4 linked regions of the Arabidopsis thaliana genome follow. Changing the gene in region 1 together with any one later gene gives a genetic interaction. Each region holds a gene or a part of one and is shown in the gene's direction. Other genes may lie near its edges. The genes, in order: ICU2, TFL2, AG and FAS1.

Region 1 (4,762 bases):
TAAGTTACTGGAAACTGAACCGAAGGGAACTCTCCAGGAAACAGAGATGGAAAACTGAAACTAACTCTGTTTCCAAACGTTAGGGTTCCTTGAAATTGCCTACCAATTGTTCCCGCTCCAACCGTCATAATCCACGGCGCTCCGTTAATCAAACTCCAGTAATATGGCCCGTCGTTACCGCCGGAAGTAACCACGAAAACGCCTTTTTGAATCGCTGCAAAAGATGCGACTGCGATTGGATCATTTTCTAGACCGAAACCATCATTGTCGTCATCATCCTCAAAACTCAATCCTAGCGACAGAGATATCACATGGACTCCATCTCGAATCGCTTGATCAATCGCTGCGATTACATCTGATGAGTAAATCCCTTCTTCCCACGCGGCTTTGTAGATTGCTAGATGCGCGTGTGGTGCGATTCCTGAGGCGGTTCCTTGGGCGTAAGAGAAGTAAGACGCGTTCTTAACATGATTCCCAGCTGCAATGGCTGCAACATGAGTGCCGTGTCCGATTGTATCGTACGGTGAAGAGTATTGGCCAATCTTGGTTTCTCTCAAATCAGGGTTGTTGGCGAACAAACCCTTGTTGAATACCTTAGCACCGATTAGTTTCTTGTTGCACAAGGAAGAAGAATTGAATTCACATGCTCCTTTCCATTTAGACGGAACCGAACCAACCCCATCGTCGTGAAAGCTGGGACTATCGGGCCAAATTCCGGTATCTATAATACCGATTACTATACCAGCTCCATAATTCGAGACCGGCCATGTACCGGATGTCGAATTTAAACCGATAAACTTTGGAGAGAAAGTGGTATGAAGCTTAACCGGTAAATCTTTGGTGAACGAGACATACCCGGGTTTGTGTTTAAGACGTTGGAGCTCAGAGTTGGTGAGAACCGCGCTAAACCCGTGAACCGAATCGGTATAAGCGTAGATAATCTTTGGTTTTCTATTGGTTATAACTGAAGTAAGAGTTGTGGAAAACCAGCTCCGATGATCGGAAAATGGCAACGGTTTAGCGGATAAGTCCATGTGGATGATGTAAGGAGAGGTCTCCGCCGTTACAATCGCTACGAAAAATGAGAACACCAGAATAATTACGACGGTCATCCCCATGTCTGAGCAAGTTTTTTTCTCTGGTCTCTTCAAAGTGAAATGAATTTTGGTGTTAGTAAGAAACAATTATAGTGTTGTTGTTAATAGATGTTTAGTTTTTATTATGACAAAAAAGTTGCAGAGAATGTAACCTTTACTTGGCTTTTGCTTTTGTTAAAGTGGTTTTAGGTGGTCGGCAACACATCATCTCTCATCATTGTTTTTTTTTCTTTTCTCTTTCAATTGGGCTTTATCATAGAGAACAATGATTTTGGATATGAACTTATTAGTAGTTTCAGCAATAGTTTAGACTTTCGAATCGGTAAATATCAGTAACTTAGAACTCAGGCTGAAACTTTGATTCTTTTACTGTATTTAGCTAGATTCTACACTTGGTGGACTCCATCAGCAATTACTTCACAGACCGAGGTAGCTCCTACAACTCTCTGATGCTTGATCTCGTTCAAATAGATGTCTCATAATTGCTTCTTTTTTGTTTTTGTTTTTGGGCTTTATTAAAGAGGAGTAAGGCCCATTAAGAGAACCCGTTTGTTTGTTGGATTCGGATTTGGCAAATGGATAGCGCCAAAATCGTGTCGATTTTCCCGCCATCTCCATTTCTTAATCTGGGTTCTTAAACCTAAATCAGTTACTCAGCTTCACCAAACCACCAAATTGACCGGATTTGTAAAAATGTCCGGCGATAATTCAACGGAAACTGGACGAAGACGTAGCCGAGGCGCGGAGGCGTCGAGTAGGAAAGACACACTCGAGCGTCTGAAGGCGATTCGACAAGGAGGAATCCGTTCTGCGTCAGGTGGTGGGTACGATATTAGGCTGCAGAAGCCAATCTTCGATACCGTTGATGACGAAGAGTACGACGCACTTGTTTCCCGGCGGCGCGAGGAGGCTCGCGGGTTTGTAGTTGAAGATGGGGAAGGTGGCGATTTGGGATATCTCGACGAAGGTGAGGAGGAGGATTGGTCGAAGCCAAGTGGACCAGAATCGACTGATGAATCAGACGACGGTGGTAGGTTTAGTGGGAGACTTAAGAAGAAGAAGAAAGGGAAAGAGCAAACGCAGCAACCTCAGGTTAAGAAGGTGAATCCGGCGTTAAAAGCTGCGGCTACTATCACTGGTGAAGGTAGACTTTCGTCTATGTTCACATCTTCGAGTTTCAAGAAAGTTAAGGAGACTGATAAGGCACAGTATGAGGGTATTCTTGACGAGATAATAGCTCAGGTTACTCCAGATGAGTCGGATAGAAAAAAGCATACGAGGAGAAAACTACCAGGTACTGTTCCAGTTACCATCTTCAAGAATAAAAAACTGTTTTCTGTTGCCTCGAGTATGGGAATGAAAGAGTCTGAACCAACACCTTCAACTTATGAGGGTGATTCTGTTTCCATGGATAATGAATTGATGAAAGAGGAAGATATGAAAGAATCTGAAGTCATTCCTTCTGAGACTATGGAATTACTTGGAAGTGATATTGTCAAAGAGGATGGATCAAACAAGATAAGGAAAACTGAAGTGAAGAGTGAGTTAGGTGTCAAGGAGGTATTTACATTGAATGCAACGATTGATATGAAAGAGAAGGATTCGGCTTTAAGTGCCACTGCTGGTTGGAAGGAAGCGATGGGAAAAGTTGGAACTGAGAATGGGGCTTTGCTTGGTTCTAGTTCTGAAGGGAAAACGGAATTTGATTTGGATGCTGACGGATCACTTCGTTTCTTCATTCTTGACGCTTATGAGGAGGCTTTTGGTGCGAGCATGGGCACAATATATCTGTTTGGGAAGGTGAATCTCTAGATTTTTCATTCATTTTTAAAGTTGTTCTTTTGGCCTTAATCTAGAGAATGAATTCGGTCTCTCTTTTTTTAACAATTCAGGTTAAAATGGGAGATACTTACAAGAGTTGCTGTGTGGTAGTTAAGAATATCCAGAGGTGTGTTTATGCTATTCCAAATGATTCCATATTTCCTTCCCATGAACTAATCATGCTCGAGCAAGAGGTGAAAGACTCTCGACTTTCTCCTGAATCCTTCCGTGGGAAATTGCATGTGAGTTTGACTACCTTTGTTACATGCTAAGAGGAAGCAATCTATTTTCCTCTGTTGTTCATTGTTTTTGGCTGTGTCTTCTCAGGAAATGGCATCAAAACTGAAAAACGAAATTGCTCAGGAATTGTTACAGCTCAATGTTTCAAATTTTAGCATGGCGCCTGTCAAGGTTTGGATATTTGACTTCTTTTTCATGTATTCTAGCAGCAATACTTTTCTTTTGACTCTCTATTCTGCTCTTTATGTACGAATATCAGAGAAACTATGCTTTTGAGAGGCCTGATGTGCCTGCTGGCGAACAATATGTTTTGAAGATAAATTATTCATTTAAGGTACATTTCAGCTGTTCAAAATAAAACTAAAAATCGTCTGTTTTCTTACATCTCAACAATATGACAAGTTTCCTCTTTTATAACAGGATCGTCCACTTCCAGAAGATCTTAAAGGCGAGTCTTTCTCCGCTTTGCTCGGGTCTCATACCAGGTTCTAGCTTCTTACTGCTGAGTTTCATTACCTTTCCATGTGTTTGGTAGTTGGTTTGTTAAGTTTGTATTTTCTGGTCTTCTGTAAGCTTCTTAGTTAACTATGTATGCTGGCTATGTCAATTTAGCACGGTGCAATTTTTTCATCCTTATCAAAGTTAATTCATATGCAGTGCTTTGGAGCATTTTATCCTTAAGAGGAAGATCATGGGACCTTGTTGGCTCAAAATTTCAAGCTTCTCTACTTGCTCTCCTTCGGAAGGAGTAAGACCTTAAATCTGTGCCATAATCATATAATCAGTGATTTTTCTAGTTCTGTTTATCTCCGCTAATGAGAGGACTTGCCACTTGTGCAGGTGAGTTGGTGCAAGTTTGAGGTTACTGTTCAATCTCCCAAGGATATCACTATTTTAGTTTCAGAGGAAAAGGTGGTTCACCCTCCTGCTGTTGTTACAGCCATAAATTTAAAGACTATAGTCAATGAAAAGCAGAACATAAGCGAAATTGTTTCTGCATCTGTTCTCTGCTTTCACAACGCCAAGGTTTGTTCTACAACATTTAACCAATGCTTCTTAGCCTTTTTTGTTGTTGTTGTTGTTGTCTTTGTGAAGAATACGGATGTATGATCATGGCATTACCAATCACCAGTAGGTTTTCGTACCATGTGGTTTTATATTAACGCTCATTTTGGACGATTGTTTCTTGCTCAAAAGACACTCTTTCTGTCTACATTAGTAGCTTGACATATGATGTGCGTGCTCCTTGATCTTTCAGATTGATGTTCCAATGCCAGCTCCAGAAAGAAAGAGATCTGGTATTCTGAGTCATTTCACTGTTGTTAGGAATCCTGAAGGAACCGGTTACCCAATTGGTTGGAAAAAAGAAGTGTCTGACAGAAATTCAAAGAACGGCTGCAATGTATTAAGTATTGAAAACAGGTGTGTTGCAGCTCTGTTACTGAATAGGCTGTGTTTGTGATCCTTCACATATATCTTTGGCAATTCATGTTGGCTTCGTCCAATATTTTGTTCCTTTTCTTACTGCAGTGAAAGAGCATTGCTGAACCGATTGTTTTTGGAGTTAAACAAATTGGACAGTGATATTCTTGTGGGACATAATA
Region 2 (4,809 bases), about 21 Mb from region 1:
GTATGGTAGCATTAGTGAACTTAGCATCTTATTATGCAATTGGTGTTCCTTTAGGTGTCCTCCTTGTTTACGTTTTCAATTTTGGGATTAAGGTACATCATATATATGAAAACTGGTATCCAGTACTTCATTATGATCAATCATTAGAACTTTTAGAATTTTAACTTGAATAAATGATATTGTATGCAGGGACTCTGGTCCGGAATGTTGGCTGGAGTTGGTATCCAAACGTTGATATTGTGTTATGTTATTTACAAAACTGACTGGGAATTGGAGGTAATTTACTTTTAATATATAACTCAAAATTTTTATTAGAAAATTCGTCATATTAAATGTATAATTTTATCTAATTACAGGTTAAGAAGACAAACGAGCGTATGAAAACGTGGACTCTAAATTTACCTGCTGTACAATCGACTACTATCTCCACAAGAGATGAAGAGAGAAAGTGAACATACAACTAAGTTAATTTAAAGAAATCTTTTAAGAAATTCTTTATAAAAAAAGAAAGAATAATTTATGTTGTATTGTGGTTGTGTTTTGCATTCCCTAAGAATGAAGTATCGGTGTTGAGATTGCATTATTAGGTTAATGCAACTCTCATAACTTTGAAAAAGGTTAAGAAGGATGAACTTTTTCTTTTATCAGAGAAAAAGGTTGTTCTCTTGTTCTTCGGATATACTCTTTCTAAACAAAAAAAAAATTGTGGGAGGTTTGAAATTTTAACTTCTTTCTTGATTTTTTAATGGATGTATATTTTGTGTGTGGGGAAAAAAATTCCATTTGTTTGAGTGCTTGTAATCGTGAATTTTTACAAAAAAAATATTCTCATATATATTTCGAGGAAACGTTACAAACTTTCATAAGCTCACCATCAAATAAAATACTCATTTATTTATGTTGAAGTCAAAACGTTCCATTTTTCCCCCTATTTATGAACCGATCCTAATGAATGTTTTTTTTCTTCCTTTTTACTTCTTTCATATCACCATTTTAAATAATAATAGTAATTATTATTTTTCTAACGTTTAAACAAAAAAAGAACTGCAAATTTTATAGTAACAATTCAAATTTAACAAAGCGATCAAAACATGCATCATTTAGTGTACAAGTACTAATCACAAAGAAACAAGTTTTGGTTGGACAAAGTATAGAACAAACACACTAAACTGAAGAAAATAGAACTTTAGCCCACCAAAAGTTGAGGCTAAAACTCGAGCAGTAATCACATAGTTACTATCAAGATAACTATACTTTGGAATGAAAGAATCTGAATCTCGATGAAGTTTATCTTGGAGAAGGACTTTCTTTTCTGTTGGTTTGGATGAGATATTGCTGAAAATTATTGATGATGATGTTAGGAGATCCAACTAAGTTGTCTGCCTTTGCAGTGCACTTGGAGACTTGGAGTGAGAATCTTAGTTTATGAGACTTATTTTCTGATTTTTCAATCTCCTTTGATTTTTTTTTAAGTTGTAATAATGTCCTAGTTGATTTCCTTGTAAAAGGAGCAAGAGCACGATGTTCTTTTATTTCTAATTTAAAGAAAATGTTTTCAGTTTAATATATTTTTCGATTTAATTTACCTTCACATATTTTCTTCAGTAGTATTTATTATTTTCATATTAGTAATTAGAAATAATCTCTTCTAATTAGATTATAAACGTTAAGAATTTGCTGTATTCAACTTTTCCTATTGTGATATTAAAAAAAAAAAAAAAAAAGAGAATCCAAAAAAGTGAAAAAACTGGTCTTTGAGGTCAGGTCAGGTCTTCTTCCTGCAAAAACAAAAACCTCAGAAATAGAGAAAAAGTTTCAATCTTTCTTCATCTTCTTCCTCCAAAATCCTTGATTTCTAAAAAGGAGAAGAAGAGAAGAGAACGCGATTACCTTGATTCACCCTCCTCCTTCAGGTTTGGGAGGCTCGAATACTCAGGAAATGAAAGGGGCAAGTGGTGCTGTTAAGAAGAAACCCCAGGTGTTGAACGAAGCTGGTGAGGCGGAGACGGCGGTGGAAACAGTCGGAGAAAGCCGGAAAATTAGTGGAGACGGTGGGTTTGGCAGTGACGACGGCGGAGGGGGAGGTGGAGGTGGAAGTGGAGAGTCGATTCTTCGCGAGATTGGTGATGATAGGCCTACGGAGGATGGAGATGAAGAAGAAGAAGAGGACGAGGATGAAGATGATGGAGGTGATGAGGAAGATGAAGAAGGAGAAGGAGAAGGTGGGCAAGAGGAAAGGCCAAAGCTTGATGAAGGGTTTTATGAAATTGAAGCTATTCGTCGTAAGAGAGTTCGAAAAGTAAGCTCCTTTTTTCGTCTTCACTCAGCAAATGTGGTTTGTTTTTGTTAACCATAATTAGTTGAGGTTTTAGGTTTTCTAGGTTTAAGATAAGTATCAAACGTAGGTTACACATTGGTGTGAGAAAGTGGCTGCTTTAGTAGTTAGTAATCATCGTAACAGAGTAGTTTATAACGAACCAAAGTTTTGATTCTGTGGTTGTTATATGTTGTAGGAAGAAAATGATCTTTAATGTTTGATATCTTCTTGGATTTGATTGATTGAATGATTCTGATTCTGCATTTTGGTACTGTTTTTTTTTTTGTATTTGTAGGGCAAGGTTCAGTATCTAATTAAATGGTGAGTTTTTCTAATCTTACTTGGTTTCATTTTTAAGTTTGTTGTTCTTGATTAAACATATGTTTTTCCATTGACATAAGTTATAAACTCGGTTGTGAAAGGCGCGGATGGCCTGAAACTGCCAACACATGGGAGCCTTTAGAGAATCTCCAGTCTATTGCTGATGTTATAGATGCCTTTGAGGGAAGGTAAGTAAATGGAATCTTATATAAAAGTTTTGTGATACTTTTGAATTGATTGTTTCATGGATTTTCTTGGTTTAATGTATGGATTTGCTTTCTTGTTTCATATGTTTCAAAGTTTGAAGCCAGGAAAGCCTGGTAGGAAACGGAAGCGCAAATATGCAGGTCCTCATTCTCAGATGAAGAAGAAGCAACGTTTAACATCTACATCACATGATGCTACTGAGAAATCTGACTCTTCTACGTCTCTCAACAACTCTAGCCTTCCTGACATTCCTGATCCACTAGACCTAAGCGGTTCGAGTCTATTAAATAGAGATGTGGAAGCGAAGAATGCTTATGTATCCAACCAAGTTGAAGCCAACAGTGGGAGTGTTGGGATGGCCCGACAAGTTCGTTTGATTGACAATGAGAAAGAATATGATCCAACACTTAACGAGCTACGAGGACCAGTCAACAATAGTAACGGTGCAGGATGTTCTCAAGGAGGAGGCATTGGTTCTGAAGGTGATAATGTAAGACCCAATGGCCTTCTCAAGGTTTATCCTAAGGAGCTTGATAAGAACAGTCGTTTCATAGGTGCTAAGCGGAGGAAGTCTGGTTCTGTGAAAAGATTCAAACAAGATGGATCCACAAGTAACAACCACACAGCACCTACAGATCAGAATCTGACACCAGATTTGACTACATTAGACTCTTTTGGTAGGATTGCAAGGATGGGGAATGAATATCCTGGTGTGATGGAAAATTGTAATTTGTCTCAGAAAACCAAGATTGAGGAGTTGGACATCACGAAGATACTTAAACCAATGAGTTTTACAGCATCTGTATCAGACAATGTCCAGGAAGTGTTGGTGACCTTTTTAGCGCTGAGGTTTGTCTCTTTAGCTCTTTGGTCATTTCTCGTAATTTGATTTCATATTTGTACAATTGTACTTATTTGGTTACTCTCATAGGTCTGATGGGAAGGAAGCATTGGTGGACAACAGATTTCTCAAGGCTCACAATCCTCATCTCGTAAGATTATCTTTATAGCTTTTTTTTTCTGCACTTACTCATTTGGAAGTTTCTTATTAGCTTTTCTAATTTGTTTTTCCCACACCAGCTGATTGAATTCTATGAGCAACATCTCAAGTACAATCGAACGCCTTAAATCATCCGGAATGGTAAGAATTTGTTTGTACACAGCCCTTGTAGGTAGAAAAGATTAGATGGCTTCTTTATTCTAGCAGTGCAACATGTAGAGTCGAGGTAGCGACAATTGGATTTTGTATCGCGTCTCCGGGAGGTTTCAGATTGTAATTTATCTCCTCGGGTTCGTTGTGTTCACTCTCTATCTCTATCATAGTAAATCTTGTTACTTGGACCTTTGCTTCTTATAGCGGAAGTTTTCTTGTACTTGCTTCTTCAAAGATCAAGTTCATGATATGTTGATGTTATCAAAATATATGTGATCAATCAATATATAATAATTATGTTTACAAGCAAACCAAGTAATTTTTTTTACTTTCGTATGACATTTCGCTGATGTAATTTGGAATGACGCTCTCGAGCCAAAGGAACTGGAAGAAACTTGATCCTCTTGGGATTTAGTTGTTCCTTATGCAAGAACTCAGTTTCATATGCTCTTCTTTTCAAAATTCTTGCGTCATCAAATGCCTTTGGAAGATCCAAATCAGAACTCTGAATTTTGTCAGAGTCATTAGAGAACTCTTGCATCATGTCTTTGAGTGATATAAGGTGTACCGCACATTTTTTAACCTCTCCAAGCGGGCTAAAGGAATCTCCTTCTGTGTTTTCGACTGAGAATTCAAACAGGGCTTCGCTGTAAGCTTCCATGGACGTGCAGGTTCTGCTGAATAAGAGAAGGTGATCTGATCCAAAATACATGTTTGTGAAAGCTTTTGGATCAGGATACCACACCTCATCCATAACAACCAGCTCACAAGCATCAGCATCTTTTAATATACAAGAGCAGTGTATCTTCAG
Region 3 (7,942 bases), on another chromosome or scaffold:
TGTTTCTTTTATAAATGACCTAATCAATTTCCATACATACAAGCATACATGTGACGTAAAGGAAATCTAATTATGTACTAATTTGTAAATTTTACTAGTATTCAATTCAGTAATTCTTACTAAACTTACTTTAACTCTTGCTAATTAAATATACTACTAGAGAAGGTAAATTACATGCAGTTAAGCTATACTATTTTTTCTAATTGCAAGAAAGAAAGAAAAAGTACAAAAGAAAAGAAAGCACATTGCAAGTGGATGTATATATAGTTATAGGGAAATAAATATGAATATGGACTGTATATACATATAGGTTTCTCTTATCTCTATCAAATTACCTTAAATGGGTTCATAAAGATGGAGATCAAAGACTACACATCACATGCTACTCTCCCTCTTCTTTTGGCATAACCTTACTCCATTTATACATTGTGCTCCTCAATTATTCAACATTTTTTAAAAATAACTTATTTAACAAAATGTTAGAAAATATCTACCCAATTTTTTTCTTCCACATACGAGCTACAAAGATCTTTATCAAATAAAACAAGAAAGATTATTAATCCATATTTTGGGTTAAATTTTAATCCATTTAGCCAATTAGGAGAACTATTTTAACAGTTAGATACTTTTCAACAAAATTTATTAAGTAGTCACCTATGTATATTCATATAGTAGTTTCACAAACAATATGGAGAGCTGTGATCTTGAAGAGGGCGACAAAAGTCAAAAAGAAAATGTAAAAAAAGAGAGAGAGATTAAAGTAGTTGGAGAAGAGAGAAAAGTCTGGTTACCTTCTAATTGAGTCAGAAGCATTACACTTAAATAACTTTCCAAATTAAGCCCTACGTCTTGTCCAGCCCCTTAAAAGTACGCTTCATCTCCCTATTTCCCCTATAAACCCTAAAACCCTATTTATCTTATTAATTTATCATTTTTTTTATATGTCAATATCACAACAAGTAAACATCATCAACTTCAAATCTCACTAACATAAATAGTATGCTAATTTTCTTCACTATCTGAGTAATTTTCTCCTTCTTTTTACATCATTCGATTCTATATTTGCCACACCATTAAATAGATAAGTATATTGGTTCTTACTACTAATAATCAGTTTAGCCATATATCTAATTACACAGTTTTCTTTTATATGTTACTTTATATTTGTACACCATCAGTTACTATATACGGAATAAATTACACCTCATCATGTAATTACAATATTATCATAAATTTTTTGAAATTCTATTCTTTAATATTTTCAGTATCCAGAATCCATTTTCTTATATTTATTCTGGCAAAATAATGTAAAATGGTATCAAATATACAACACCATATATTTGTTTATAAATAACTTCCTTAATTAGTGAAACAAATTTTCCTGCAGAATGTCACTTAAATCTTTAAAACAATTCACAAAAGAAAAGGGAATAGAGCTGAAATTTTTTCCTCTTTAAAAAGATCAAGATTTAGTAAAAACTAGAAACAAAGAAGAAGATCGATATTTGTTGTAACAAAAAAATGTACTGATCAGATTTACCCAAAGATTTTAGTGCCTCAAAAACTTTCACATGAAAAGCAAAGACAAGTAATGGTAAGTAGAGTCTGCATCTCATGAGTGATTGCCCAACTTGAACCCTCTTTTCATTTAGACCTTTGTGAAAGACCACACAAGAACTACCCACCAATAACTCTCTCTTTTTTTCTTCATTTCCAAAAACTATTTATTCATTTCTACAATTTCTCAATTTGGGGGTGTCCTTAATAAGTATTATATTTATGAAAAGTCCGGATGTATGGTGGGTGTTATTTATGGTAATTAACACTATTTATTAATAATATTTTTCATGTGATTTCAAAAGCTGATGTACTCATGCTTTGTGAACCTTTAGATTGCTCTATGTCAATCTTTTATTTTAACCTATCATATGTCTAAATGTACTGAAAAGAAACACCAGTTTAATTAATTATACTTCCCTCATATATAACTATCAACCAAGTACAAAACTTTTGTCAATTCTCAAAATCAACTTTCACCACATAATTATCTAACATGTGTATGTTCCAAAACCAGTTTAAATAGAATTACTTTTCAGAAAATACATGTATATTAACTCTATCTAATAAAGAAGAAACACATACTTATCTCATAGATTCCATTCATAAAACTATGCTTTAGTGAGTAAGAAAACCAGTAATCAAACACAAATTGACAAGACACTATATGGATGTAAAAAGTGGGGAAAAATGGTGATAAATAGTAGAGAAAATTAAAAAGAAAAAAAATATTCCTTTATAAATGTATATACCCATCTCTTCACCAGCACAACCTTACCTTCCATTTTCTGCAACTTCTCCAAATCTCATACTTTCCAGAAAATCATTTTCCCAAGAAAAATAAAACTTTCCCCTTTGTTCTTCTCCCCCCAACAGGTCAGGCTAGTATTTTGTTGTTCCCCAATCCTTTCAAACATTATCTTCTTCATAATATTACTTTGCTTCACTTCTTTTGGTCCTTAAACCAAATTTTTGTTCTTCTTTAGTTTCCTTTTTTCCCGTTTTGATTTGATTCTTTTTATGTTATTTAGAGAGAAACAAGATTCACAAATTCTCTGATCTTCTTTAACTCTTTAAAACTTTTCTTTTTCACACTCTAGATTTAAATTATCCCTATGGTTACAAAACAATTTTGTTCTTAGTTTATAACTTGTGTATTACCATCCTTTCTTGATTAACTCTTGTTAGGAGAATATGAATGTAAGATCAATAAAGTTCTTCAACTTTATAATTCCTTCTATAAGATGTGTGTCGGCAACAGAATTAAATTAAATCTTTATAGTTTAACTTTAATCTCAACCATAATTCAAAAGAATAGAAAACATGAAGAATCTTGAGTCTTTTCAAGAAAATCTTGATTGGTTTTTTGTTGGATTCTTGTAATTCTGTACTAATCAAATTTTGCCCTAAACGTTTTTGGCTTTGGAGCAGCAATCACGGCGTACCAATCGGAGCTAGGAGGAGATTCCTCTCCCTTGAGGAAATCTGGGAGAGGAAAGATCGAAATCAAACGGATCGAGAACACAACGAATCGTCAAGTCACTTTTTGCAAACGTAGAAATGGTTTGCTCAAGAAAGCTTACGAGCTCTCTGTTCTTTGTGATGCTGAAGTCGCACTCATCGTCTTCTCTAGCCGTGGTCGTCTCTATGAGTACTCTAACAACAGGTTTCTTCTTCTTCTCGTGCTCTGTTCTTACTTTATTAATAATTAAATTATTTTTAAAGTCCGATTTAGGGTTTTATGTTTATGTTAAAGCATAAATCTTTTACGAGGGTTTTCGATCTTCTAAGCTAGATTTGATTCTCTTCTTCTTGAATGCTCTTATGGGTAGGATTATTTTTCACTTTTTTCCTTCATATTCCACACACATATATATATAAACACACTAACATTAGTGGGAATATTTGTTTGATATGTTTATTTTATTTACTTCGGGGGTTTTTGTAACAATTTTGTAGATCTAATTTCTTGTTCTTCATGTGTATATTAATTTTCCCTTAAGACTTAAATAAAAAGAGAGAATTTGTTATATATAGATATATGAAGTGAGGGAAATGGTACAAAGTTAAAGGAGATCTGAGTGAGAGTTAGATAATAAATGAAAAGAAATAAGAAACCATCAGGGTTTTTTCTAATGTGGAGTTTTAGATTCAGTTTTGTAGAACTAAGATTCACTTTGTTGGGTGTTCTTTCTTCACTCATTTCTGTTATTATAATAATAATAAAATCTTATATCTTTCTATTTTCCTTACTAACAAGTACTTGAAGATTTAGATATATTTATAGATCTGGTGTTGTAATAGGTAAAAACTTGATTTTTATGACTATAAAAGTAAGTTTTGGGAAACAAATTGGGGAGAGAGTAAGGAAGGACTATGAGGTCATATCTTCTGTTTTGTGATCATCCATCCTCCATTGTTGTTAATGTCTGTGTCTCTCTTTTTCTTCTCTTCTTTCTCTTACTTTCCTTTCTTATCTCTAGCTCTCTTTCTCTCTCATGAATTATATCATATCATATATTTGATACAAACACATGTGATGGTAAGTGAGAGTGAATAAGGTGAAACTAGCTAGATTTTTGAGTTTTCATGAAATTTTAACTTATATGAGTGATAGAAAATAATGGAACTTATACGTACATGTAGGACAATTTAGATGGTTATCTAAGTTTTTGTTTTTGTTTTCTCTTGAGAATGTTAAATGTTAGTGTTATTTTTGTAGTTTTGGAAAATTATATATGAGCTAAGATTAGTTTAGAAGTGGTCAAAAGAAACATAGATTTGAAATTTCAACTGAATTTTCAAGATTTCAAATAGTCAATGAAACAAGGAGGTAATTAAGACAAATTAGCTTATGGGGACTCTTTTTTGTTATTCCTTAAAATTACTCTTTTTAAAATTAAAAATAACTAATCTCATTTCGAACTACATTACTCAAACTAGTAATCTCTAATTCGACACGCAATTTCCAAATACTTATTAGTAGAGAGTCCCACGTGATTACTTTCTTCTCCACCAAAACATAAAACATGTCAAGATTAAATGGTGTTTGAAAATTAAAAGATCAATTTTCTTAATCGTTTACAGTTGTCAACTCTCATGTCCTGAAATATATAATTCTCATGTCCAAAACAAGAAAAGCTAACAACGACTTCAAATTAAATCAGTCAATCAAAATTAGTCTTCATTTACCTACTAATTTCTTTTTATATATCCGATGGGTACTCTACGAAATCAGAGTTTCGTTTCTTTATTTATTTTCTTTTATAAGATTTTTGAGGTTTTTTCAGAGGTTGGAATTGAGCGCAAGATTAGGTTTTGGGTCTGTAAGATTTGTTGTCTTTGTTAAAGAATCTTTGATCACGTCATCACTCAGATATTATTTCTTTTTATTTTTCACTTGTATTTTTACTAATTTATTATAAAGTTTTGTTAGTTTCAGTTCTTGACTTCTGACAAGAAGGTTTTATGTCATAATGAATTAATTTGTAACCTATTTATAAATTCAAAAATGTCATCATATTACTACTTTTGACCATTTAATATTAGATTTCTCATTTGGTCAATACCCAATGTTCATATTACATATATAGAGACAAAAATTATAAGGATACTAAATTGTTCATATTTCTTGGAAGTAAAAAGATTAATGATCACTGAATAAATAGATTTGGCATAGAAGTATAGCATTGGAATTGCTTCAACATCTTTGGTGTAGATAGATTTATGCAATTTCTCTTTCTTTTTGAAGTATCTTTTTTTTTTCTAGAGAGAGAATAATGTTAGGGATTTTTATCATTTTCTCTCTCATTATGGGTACTGAGAGGAAAGTGAGATTTTTAGTACGGATCCAATAGTTTAAGAGTTTGGTCTGCCTTCTACGATCCAAAAAAATCTACGGTCATGATCTCTCCATCGAGAAGGTTGAGAGTTCAGACATCAAAGTCTATAATATGTCATTGTAATACGTATTTGTGTATATATATCTATGTACAAGTACATATACAGGAAACTCAAGAAAAAAGAATAAATGGTAAATTTAATTATATTCCAAATAAGGAAAGTATGGAACGTTGTGATGTTACTCGGACAAGTCATTTAGTTACATCCATCACGTTTAAATTTAATCCAATGGTTACAATTTTAATACTATCAAATGTCTATTGGATTTATACCCAATGTGTTAATGGGTTGTTGACACATGTCACATGTCTGAAACCCTAGACATGTTCAGACCAATCATGTCACTCTAATTTTGCCAGCATGGCAGTTGGCAGCCAATCACTAGCTCGATAAATTTAAGGTTTCAGAGGAATTTTAATTTATTTAGGGTTCATATTGTTTCATAAAATGATTCTTTATTTGTTACAACTTTAAGGAAATATTTTATTAACTATTTAATTGTTCCCTTTTCTTATATTACTTTTGTTTTTTCTTCACATCATGTGTCACATTAAGTTGCATTTCTTCTGACTCAAAAGAACCGATGTTTGCTTTTAAGGTTTCGTATTAGAATCACTTAACTGTGCAAGTGGTCGATTTGACCCTATCAATTTTATTTTTTATTACTTATCAAAATGCAGATTTAAGCGTAGATTAAGTTTAGAAAATAGGTAGTTAATAGGTCTAATTAACTTATTAATTCCTTTAAAAAAATTATTGCAGTGTAAAAGGGACTATTGAGAGGTACAAGAAGGCAATATCGGACAATTCTAACACCGGATCGGTGGCAGAAATTAATGCACAGGTAAGTGGTAACTTAATATTACACGAATGATTTTAATTAATATATGATGACATGACAACATTGTTCATTCTTTTACTCTTTTTTTTTTTGTTGTTGTTGTAGTATTATCAACAAGAATCAGCCAAATTGCGTCAACAAATAATCAGCATACAAAACTCCAACAGGTTAATTATCTAACTGACTTGAAATATTTGATTACTTGGTTGTTATTAACTATTTGATATATTAACATATGTTGATAAATCAATTAGGCAATTGATGGGTGAGACGATAGGGTCAATGTCTCCCAAAGAGCTCAGGAACTTGGAAGGCAGATTAGAGAGAAGTATTACCCGAATCCGATCCAAGAAGGTAATTCTATTTTTTTTATAAATGCTTCAATATAATATCAAATTAAATCTATATGCCTTGTTGCTAATTTTTGTTTAATTTTACAGAATGAGCTCTTATTTTCTGAAATCGACTACATGCAGAAAAGAGTAAGAAATAAATCTTAACTTAATTTCTATTCTTAATATGTTCTTATAATAATTTTGCTCATTTGCATTGCACCGATTAAGCAGGAAGTTGATTTGCATAACGATAACCAGATTCTTCGTGCAAAGGTAAAAGTACACATTATATATCAATTTCTATAATTTTCCCTATTGTTTCAATAAATATTATATGAAAACGATTAAAATGGTGAAAGTACTTGTAGATAAATAGTTTATGACATATATTTGTGTAATGTAGATAGCTGAAAATGAGAGGAACAATCCGAGTATAAGTCTAATGCCAGGAGGATCTAACTACGAGCAGCTTATGCCACCACCTCAAACGCAATCTCAACCGTTTGATTCACGGAATTATTTCCAAGTCGCGGCATTGCAACCTAACAATCACCATTACTCATCCGCGGGTCGCCAAGACCAAACCGCTCTCCAGTTAGTGTAAGGACACAAAATCTTGCTCCGATCAATCATTCTAGTCTTATATTATTAATCGGTCCATTTTGTAAAACTTGACAGCATGGATTTGGTCTTTTATGCTGTTTTGTAGGTAATATAGGCTGAAGGAAATGGCCGGGAGTGAATAAAAACCAGAATTGGGTTGAGCAAGCAATATAAAGCTAATGCATGTTATATATATATTTATCCCATGAATGTTGTATCAGTGAATTTTATGCTTATGTTGATGTGAAATTAATATCTTAAAGACATGTCATTAATGTGCTTAATTTGCTTCAAAACATCTATGTGTATAAGTGTACTATTAGTTCAATTGTTGTATTTAATTACCAATTCCTGCTCTATTAATGATTTTATTATAGAAAAGTCTCAATATGATAATGATATATATTCATGTGCTGAGTTCCATCCTCCTCCTCCTTCTCCCCATGTGGTACAGTTGCAAAATGTCGAAACATTCGTTCATTTTGTAGCTGCCTACCAGGAATACATTCACCACCCGGTCTCAATATCTCGCGTCTTGCTCGGTGAAAACACATACAAGAGTATTAACCATATTTTCTTTAAATGCACATACAATAGCTTATCTCTGCCTAGCTTCATTTCGTAAACCAAGAGCAAACATTATCGGATGGCTCCATACCTGTTCTCAATAAATCATGGTCATAATCAAGCTCATTTTCCTAGC
Region 4 (7,026 bases), on another chromosome or scaffold:
GCTCCTAAATATAAACTTTTGTGATTCATACGAATGTAATTCGAAGAGAGGTTAAAAACAATGAGATTTTCAATGAGAAAAATAGCATATTTTTTTTTTGGTTCAATAAGTAATAGATTTTTGTTCAGCAAATGTTCGTTAGAAATTATGGAATTTTTATTTATAATATTTTTGAACCCCAAATCAGATAAAATTTTTAAAAAATATTTTTTCACCATAAGTTTTTAATGTTAGAATTATCTTATATTGGAAGTGGAAATGAATGTTAGGAACAAAAGTCTTTAACATAAAAATTTGTGCCTTTAAAATAGCTCTTAACTTTCATCTCCACGTTGATTAATTTAGACCATCCTGTGTTGACGTTGAGTTTGTGATCTTTTTCAATGAAAACAAATATCTAGTGTAATTTTTTTTTTTTTGACGTAATTACTTAGAATATTTAAAAGGGTCTAATTGCACAAGTTTTATGCCGCCATTATGAATAATAGCATAGGTTGGATATTTTAGATAATTTGTTGCAATATAGTGATGTATTGCAATAAATATAAACGTTTAATCGTTTAAACGCACCATTTAGTGTCATAATTTACGTAAATATCGTTTTTAAGGTTCCAACTGCACAAGTTTTTTATGCCGTCACCATAAATGGTATAAGCATGATATTTTCTAGTATAATTTGTTGCAATGCATCACTATTTCCTAAGTTTTTCAAAAACATTATATACAGAATAAATTCAAATAGCATTTTACATTATACTAATTTGTTATTAAGCCTTTAAAACGCATTATTTAGTATGAAGCTATCAATGTATAATGTATCATATCATGCAAATGGCATATCCAAAGGGAGATGAAGAACGTCAGAAGCATGACGAGAGATGCTTGAGCCGTGAGGGTAGCCTCGTGGGAATGAATACAAAAAGCTCACACATAAAAGTAGCATTTTTAATGGCCACCAAATCTTATCACCCTTTTTGGGATATTTTTAAAAAATTTTGAAAATAAAAGAAATATTCTTTATCTGATTCCTATTACTGAAAAGTGAACACTGAATAAAACGTCAGTTCATTGGTTTCTCCTATTTTTACAATTACAGAAAATCATCTCTCTATTTTGTTTTGTTATTTCGTTTAGTACAATGCCGCAAATAAAAACACTAGCCATTTAATAACTCACTTTGTTTGCTTATTGAATTGTCCAACCAATTACTCATTCTTAATTAGTATGACTGTTAGTATCTTTTAGAAGAAAATTAAAGCGAAGAATTATAATTCAAACATTTTTCTAACGACAAATTAACACGCACTACTACCACATCATTCATCATCAATTGATTCCCTCATATGGTCAGTCAACAACATATGCTCAGTGAACAAAAACCTCACCATCTTCTCTCCCTCCCTTTTCTTGCTACAAATCTTCATTTCCTTTCACTTTCTTACCTCGTTCATAAATCGTATCCAAAGTATTATTCGGTTTCATTCGGAGCTCTTGCTCACCATGACCGTATTAGGCTTAAAATTAAAATTAAAATGAGTAATTTCTAGTCTCTATTTATATAACCGCATCCGCATGAGTATTTAAAATTAGTAAATTCTAGTCTCTATTTATATGTCATCCCAATTGTTTCCCCCACTATATTGGGCTTAAAAGAAACAAAAGCAGGCCCACATAGGCCTTCATCTTCTCCAAAACTTGAGTGGCGCCAAACAGTAAAATTGCATTTTTGTCATTTGGAGGCAAATCCACCCGTCAAAACCTTGGCGGGAAAATCAACGACCCTTCTTTTTAGTGAATCCCCAATTTTATTTTTTTATCCTTTTTTTTTTTCAAACCTATCCATCTTCCCACTCCCTTCTTCTTCTTCTTCTCCAAAAACCTAAGAACTCTGAGAAAAAAAAAATCCAAAATCAAAATCACGAAAGGAACAACAAATCTCCACTCAGCTCGTGTTTCTCGCAATCGATTTCTTAGATTCTAGATCTTGTTTCAATTTTCCTGGGTTTATAGATTCCCGAATTTTTCTAGTTTTTTTTTTTGCGATGGACGAAGTTTCGACGGTGAATGAAAATGAGAATCGGAAGACGATGATAGAGCCAAAGAAGCTGAATAAGCGGAAGAGAGAACCCACGGCGATTGAGAATCTAACATCTGAGGAGAAAGAATCTCAGATCTCGTCGTTGAATCTAGAGATGAAAGGGCTTTTTGATTATTTCAGAGAAGTTATGGATAAGAGTAAGAGAACAGATCTGTTTTCTGGATTTAGTGAATGTTCCTCATTGAATTCGATGGTGGCTTTGTTAATGGAGGAAATGAGTTTGCCGTTGTCGAAGCTTGTAGATGAGATTTACTTGAAATTGAAGGAGAAGACTGAAAGTGTTACTATGGTAGCTGTGAAGAGTGCTGTTGTTTCTGTTGGTCAGAGAGTTAGTTACGGTGTGCTTAACGTAGATGCTGATGTTTTGGAGGATGATTCTGAATCTTGTCTTTGGTGCTGGGAGGTAATCTTAGTTTGCTAATCTTACAAGTTTTGATCTTTGAATCTAATGGTAAGTTTGGTGTGGTTTATACTCTTTGGTGATGTCATTTAATGTTTGAGATGTAATGTTTATTTGATGTTGTAGACGAGAGATCTGAAAATCATGCCGAGTTCCGTTCGTGGAGTGTTAAAACTTCGCCGGACTTGTCGAAAGAAGATTCATGAAAGGATTACAGCAGTTTCTGGTAAATGTTGTTTTTAGTGGTGATTCGTATTGATTGTTTGTTTATAAGATGTGAGTGTTTATGCCCTATGTTGTGTTTCAGCAATGTTAGCTGCATTACAAAGAGAAGAAACTGAAAAGTTGTGGAGATCTGATTTGAGTAAAGCTGCTGAGAAGCTTGGTAAAATACTGAGTGAGGTGGATATTCGATCATTCATGGATAACATGATGCAGAAGAACAGCTCAGAAATGTAAGTATCTTCTGTTAGTACTTGGTTTACATTTTATCTCTTGTTTTTCATTCTTACTCAGTTATTGTGTTTGATCGTTAAGGGCTGAGAAAGACTCAAAGAGAGAAGAGAAGCTGCTTCTTAAACAATTGGAGAAAAATAGATGTGAAGCTGAGAAGGAGAAGAAGAGAATGGAACGTCAAGTATTGAAAGAAAAATTGCAACAAGTAAGCTGATCTTTTTCTTCATTGTCTTCTAGAAGTCTTTTCTGGCGCTGTTTATTCTCTTTTAGTCATCTAGGATGTGTTGTTTGATTTCAAAGTCTGACTTCTGACTGAGCATTTGTTCACTGTGACAGGAAAAAGAGCAGAAGCTACTGCAGAAAGCAATTGTTGATGAAAATAATAAAGAAAAAGAAGAGACAGAGTCAAGAAAACGGATAAAGAAACAGCAAGATGAGTCGGAGAAGGAGCAGAAGCGTAGAGAGAAGGAACAAGCCGAGCTAAAGAAGCAACTTCAAGTACAGAAACAAGCTTCAATCATGGAACGGTTTCTTAAAAAGAGCAAAGATAGTTCATTGACCCAACCCAAACTTCCTTCCAGTGAAGTAACTGCTCAGGAGCTGTCATGTACAAAACATGAGAATGAAATTGGAAAAGTTGTTCAGGCAATTGACAACGCCTTTTCAACAACTTGTGAAGCTACAGTTGATGATATTCGCAGGTATGACATTGGTTCTCCTTGTTGATTGATTCTGTGAGGTGTCACTTTGGGTATTGTGATCTGAGTTGTATTTCTTTGTAGGGAACACTTTGCTTCCTGGCGTCAGTTGGGTCATTTGCTCTCGAGTTCGAAAAAACATTGGGGGATGCGTAGGCAGCCTAAGAGTGAACTGTTTCCAAAACTAAAACTATCTACAAATAGTGGAGTAACATCTGACGGTGAACCTAACATGGAGAAGCAAGGGGATGGATGTGAAGAGAATAACTTTGATGGTAGGCAGTGTAAGCCTTCCTCATCTAATCGTAAGAAGTCCAGGAGGGTCAAGCAGTTGTTACAATTTGATAAAAGCTGCAGACCAGGCTTTTATGGTATCTGGCCCAGCCAAAGGTTAGTAATTATTTTGAAAATTTTCATTTCAGCAGTAAGCTTATATAATATAGATTATTAGTTAGCCAAAAAGCCTTGACTAACTGCAAGCTTTCCCCTGGGTTTGTTTGGTACTGTTTTTTGATATTAGCTTTGTTGCGAAACATTTTTCAATTTTCACTGCATAAGTCATAAAGTTTTCCGATGCTGCCTATGTGACTACTTTTTTCATGGTGTTTAATAAAGCAGATGATAAATGACCTATGAAGTAAACATACTTTTACGCTACTTTACCCTGTTCTGATTCCTTAATTAACTAACCATCGTCTATGTTGGATCTGTGGTTATTATCGTCCAATGCATTTCAATTTGGATTGAACAATCATTGTAGTGAACTTGTAATGTACAGAACGTTCTCTGTGATTCTGATACGACAATACCATTTGTTATTCTGATATGCATCTAGCTGTTCAATTAAGTAGTGTTCACTCTCTAAGTTTGCTTACAATGGTACTGAGGGATCTGTTGTTTAACATTTGCAGTCAAGTTGTAAAGCCACGTCGTCCTCTGCAAAAGGATCCAGAATTGGATTATGAAGTTGATAGTGATGAAGAATGGGAAGAGGTAGGTTTATTGAATTCAGTACATGCTTTTTAAACTTGACAAAAGATCACTGGGTAATAAAGATACTTCTTTACAGGAAGAAGCTGGTGAAAGCCTTTCAGATTGTGAGAAAGATGAAGACGAAAGTTTGGAAGAAGGATGTTCAAAGGCTGATGATGAAGATGATAGTGAAGATGACTTTATGGTGCCTGATGGATATCTCTCAGAAGATGAGGTAACAAAAGCAATTTTTAATGAACTCGTCATAGATTCTTATAAATCTAGGTTGCAATCTAGGAATCTGCTGAAGTCAAATTTGCATTTCTTTGTAGTATCCAAACTATTGATCAAGTTACAACTTGAATTCCTCATTCATTCTTATAATTGATCACTCATTTTCTTTGAGCATGTGCCAATTTTGTGAAGGGGATAGTTAACTAAAGGCAGCTACGCTATAACGAATGTAAAGTTTCTTAACAAAGTGTGTTGTTTGTTTCAGGGGGTCCAAGTGGACAGAATGGACATTGATCCGTCTGAACAGGATGCAAATACGACATCATCTAAGCAAGATCAAGAAAGTCCAGAGTTTTGCGCATTACTCCAACAACAAAAACATCTGCAAAATTTAACTGACCATGCTCTGAAGAAAACGCAGCCACTGATCATATGTAACCTAACTCATGAGAAGGTCTCTCTCTTAGCTGCTAAAGATCTAGAAGGGACACAAAAAGTAGAACAAATATGTCTGCGAGCTCTCATGGTGCGACAATTCCCTTGGTCTTCTCTCATTGAGATATCGATCAACGACATTCAAGATGAAGATCAAGAAGCCAGCAAGTTTTCTTGTAGCCAGAGCACTCCTCCATCTAATTCAAAAGCAAAAATCATACCAGACTCAGATTTGCTTACAGTTGTAAGTGGATCTCTCCAAACAAATAACATTGTTTATGTATTGCTACTTAGCCCTAACAAGAATTTGGCGTCCAGGTATCAACTATTCAATCATGCTCTCAAGGTATCAATAGGGTAGTTGAAACATTACAGCAGAAGTTCCCTGATGTTCCAAAGACCAAGCTTAGACAAAAAGTGCGTGAAATATCAGATTTCGAGGATAGTCGTTGGCAGGTTAGTTAATACTTCGATCTTCTATTTTGAGTTTTTTGCCTTGAGACATAGTTGCTTATCACCATTCCCGCGATCCTTTGTTCTAACGAGCAGGTAAAGAAAGAAGTATTGACAAAGCTTGGATTATCACCGTCACCAGATAAAGGCGGTAAGAGATTACCGAAAACGATATCTACATTCTTCTCAAAACGTTGTTTACCTCCATCCACAAAACCACAACCTGCAGTTGAAGACGCAGCAGAGAGATTGGAAAACGAAAATGCTTAAGTCTACTCACAGTTTCCATCTTTATTTTTTTGGTTACATCCATCCCTCAACTTGGCTAAATCCTTTTTGTTTGCTTCTTGTGGATATGTATAATGCTCAATATCGGTAAAAATGTTTGAGATGAGGGAAATGATAAAATGGTTTAAGTATTAAGAAGCAACATGAAATAGCGAGATGTTTTGTTCTGTTAAAAAGGCTTTAAAACTTGGGAGTAATCATAAACCCTTATTTTATAATACGACACCGTTTAAATCGTTTTCACTTCTTCTTCCTCGCGGTCTCAGCCTCCTCCATCTTTTCTTCTTCGCAAGTTTTCTCACGACTTCGAAATCAATCTGTCTACAAAGCTATATTATGTATATAGAGTTCATTGTAAATATTCTGGTTTTGTATAGTTTTAACTGGAGTCTGTATAGGTTGGTTTAGCTGGTTAAGAGGCTCTGGTTTAGGCCTGGTCAATTGTATATAAACCCCCAATTGTAACTTTTACCAAATTAATGAGAATGAGATTATTTACTAATAAGCTAGATTACATGTTAAGATCTCCAAACAAATAACATTTCTCTTAATATATATTGCTACTTATTATCTTTAACAAAATTTGGAGTCCATAGAGGCAGAGAGATTGGAAAACGCGCGAGTTTAATTAAGACTCATAATTTCCATCTTTTTTTTTTGGTTACATCCTTTTTTCGGTTTCTTGTGGATACAAATGTATGATGTTTATATAAGATCGGTAAAAGCGTTTTAGGTGAGGGAATGATAAATGGTTAAGAAGAAATGTTTTTATTCAGTACTCAAAAGTCTCTATAAATTTCCTTTACGTACTTCCATATCAAATCACCTTTAAATCTTTTGTGCTTGTTTATACTTAGAGAAAGTAGCAGAAAATAGATGTTTTATAACGTTCACTTTTCAACCGTATACAAATATAAAATACCATAATGTGTTTATAATCGTCAAAGAAGTAAAATAAAGCAATAGCAATGCAAAGTGAAGCCATCACGAAA

Evidence for each region.
Region 2: of ICU2 (region 1) and TFL2, changing one enhances a phenotype caused by changing the other (phenotypic enhancement), as found in Arabidopsis thaliana (one study listed by BioGRID).
Region 3: of ICU2 (region 1) and AG, changing one suppresses a phenotype caused by changing the other (phenotypic suppression), as found in Arabidopsis thaliana (one study listed by BioGRID).
Region 4: of ICU2 (region 1) and FAS1, changing one enhances a phenotype caused by changing the other (phenotypic enhancement), as found in Arabidopsis thaliana (one study listed by BioGRID).

Annotation. Positions count from the first base shown.
Region 1 is NC_003076.8:26,775,204-26,779,965, forward strand, and holds the start of ICU2 (DNA-directed DNA polymerase), read left to right. Parts: upstream 1-1,749; 5' UTR 1,750-1,790; coding exon 1,791-2,897; intron 2,898-2,989; coding exon 2,990-3,160; intron 3,161-3,245; coding exon 3,246-3,329; intron 3,330-3,417; coding exon 3,418-3,492; intron 3,493-3,578; coding exon 3,579-3,643; intron 3,644-3,815; coding exon 3,816-3,906; intron 3,907-3,998; coding exon 3,999-4,184; intron 4,185-4,416; coding exon 4,417-4,580; intron 4,581-4,688; coding exon 4,689-4,762. Other genes in the region: AT5G67090 (Subtilisin-like serine endopeptidase family protein), read right to left, coding at 1-1,118. UniProt on the Arabidopsis thaliana protein: Polymerase alpha in a complex with DNA primase is a replicative polymerase.
Region 2 is NC_003076.8:5,826,668-5,831,476, reverse strand, and holds TFL2 (uncharacterized protein), read left to right. Parts: upstream 1-1,716; 5' UTR 1,717-1,939; coding exon 1,940-2,299; intron 2,300-2,612; coding exon 2,613-2,638; intron 2,639-2,718; coding exon 2,719-2,826; intron 2,827-2,938; coding exon 2,939-3,694; intron 3,695-3,776; coding exon 3,777-3,837; coding exon of another isoform or gene 3,838-3,855; exon of another isoform or gene 3,856-3,925; coding exon 3,926-3,973; 3' UTR 3,974-4,306; downstream 4,307-4,809. Other genes in the region: AT5G17700 (MATE efflux family protein), read left to right, coding at 1-92, 190-276, 357-452; AT5G17680 (disease resistance protein (TIR-NBS-LRR class)), read right to left, coding at 4,324-4,809.
Region 3 is NC_003075.7:10,380,924-10,388,865, forward strand, and holds AG (K-box region and MADS-box transcription factor family protein), read left to right. Parts: upstream 1-1,932; 5' UTR 1,933-2,757; intron 2,758-2,988; 5' UTR 2,989-2,993; coding exon of another isoform or gene 2,994-3,117; coding exon 3,118-3,223; intron 3,224-6,058; coding exon 6,059-6,148; intron 6,149-6,222; coding exon of another isoform or gene 6,223-6,230; coding exon 6,231-6,304; intron 6,305-6,406; coding exon 6,407-6,468; intron 6,469-6,555; coding exon 6,556-6,655; intron 6,656-6,741; coding exon 6,742-6,783; intron 6,784-6,867; coding exon 6,868-6,909; coding exon of another isoform or gene 6,910-6,942; exon of another isoform or gene 6,943-7,039; coding exon 7,040-7,236; intron 7,237-7,345; coding exon 7,346-7,349; 3' UTR 7,350-7,616; downstream 7,617-7,942. UniProt on the Arabidopsis thaliana protein: Probable transcription factor involved in the control of organ identity during the early development of flowers. Is required for normal development of stamens and carpels in the wild-type flower.
Region 4 is NC_003070.9:24,318,896-24,325,921, reverse strand, and holds FAS1 (chromatin assembly factor-1 (FASCIATA1) (FAS1)), read left to right. Parts: upstream 1-1,830; 5' UTR 1,831-2,042; coding exon 2,043-2,501; intron 2,502-2,624; coding exon 2,625-2,724; intron 2,725-2,805; coding exon 2,806-2,953; intron 2,954-3,035; coding exon 3,036-3,159; intron 3,160-3,290; coding exon 3,291-3,655; intron 3,656-3,736; coding exon 3,737-4,042; intron 4,043-4,563; coding exon 4,564-4,645; intron 4,646-4,721; coding exon 4,722-4,859; intron 4,860-5,123; coding exon 5,124-5,537; intron 5,538-5,611; coding exon 5,612-5,749; intron 5,750-5,842; coding exon 5,843-6,016; 3' UTR 6,017-6,526; downstream 6,527-7,026. UniProt on the Arabidopsis thaliana protein: Component of the chromatin assembly factor complex (CAF-1) involved in chromatin assembly following DNA replication and DNA repair. Assembles histone octamers onto replicating DNA in vitro.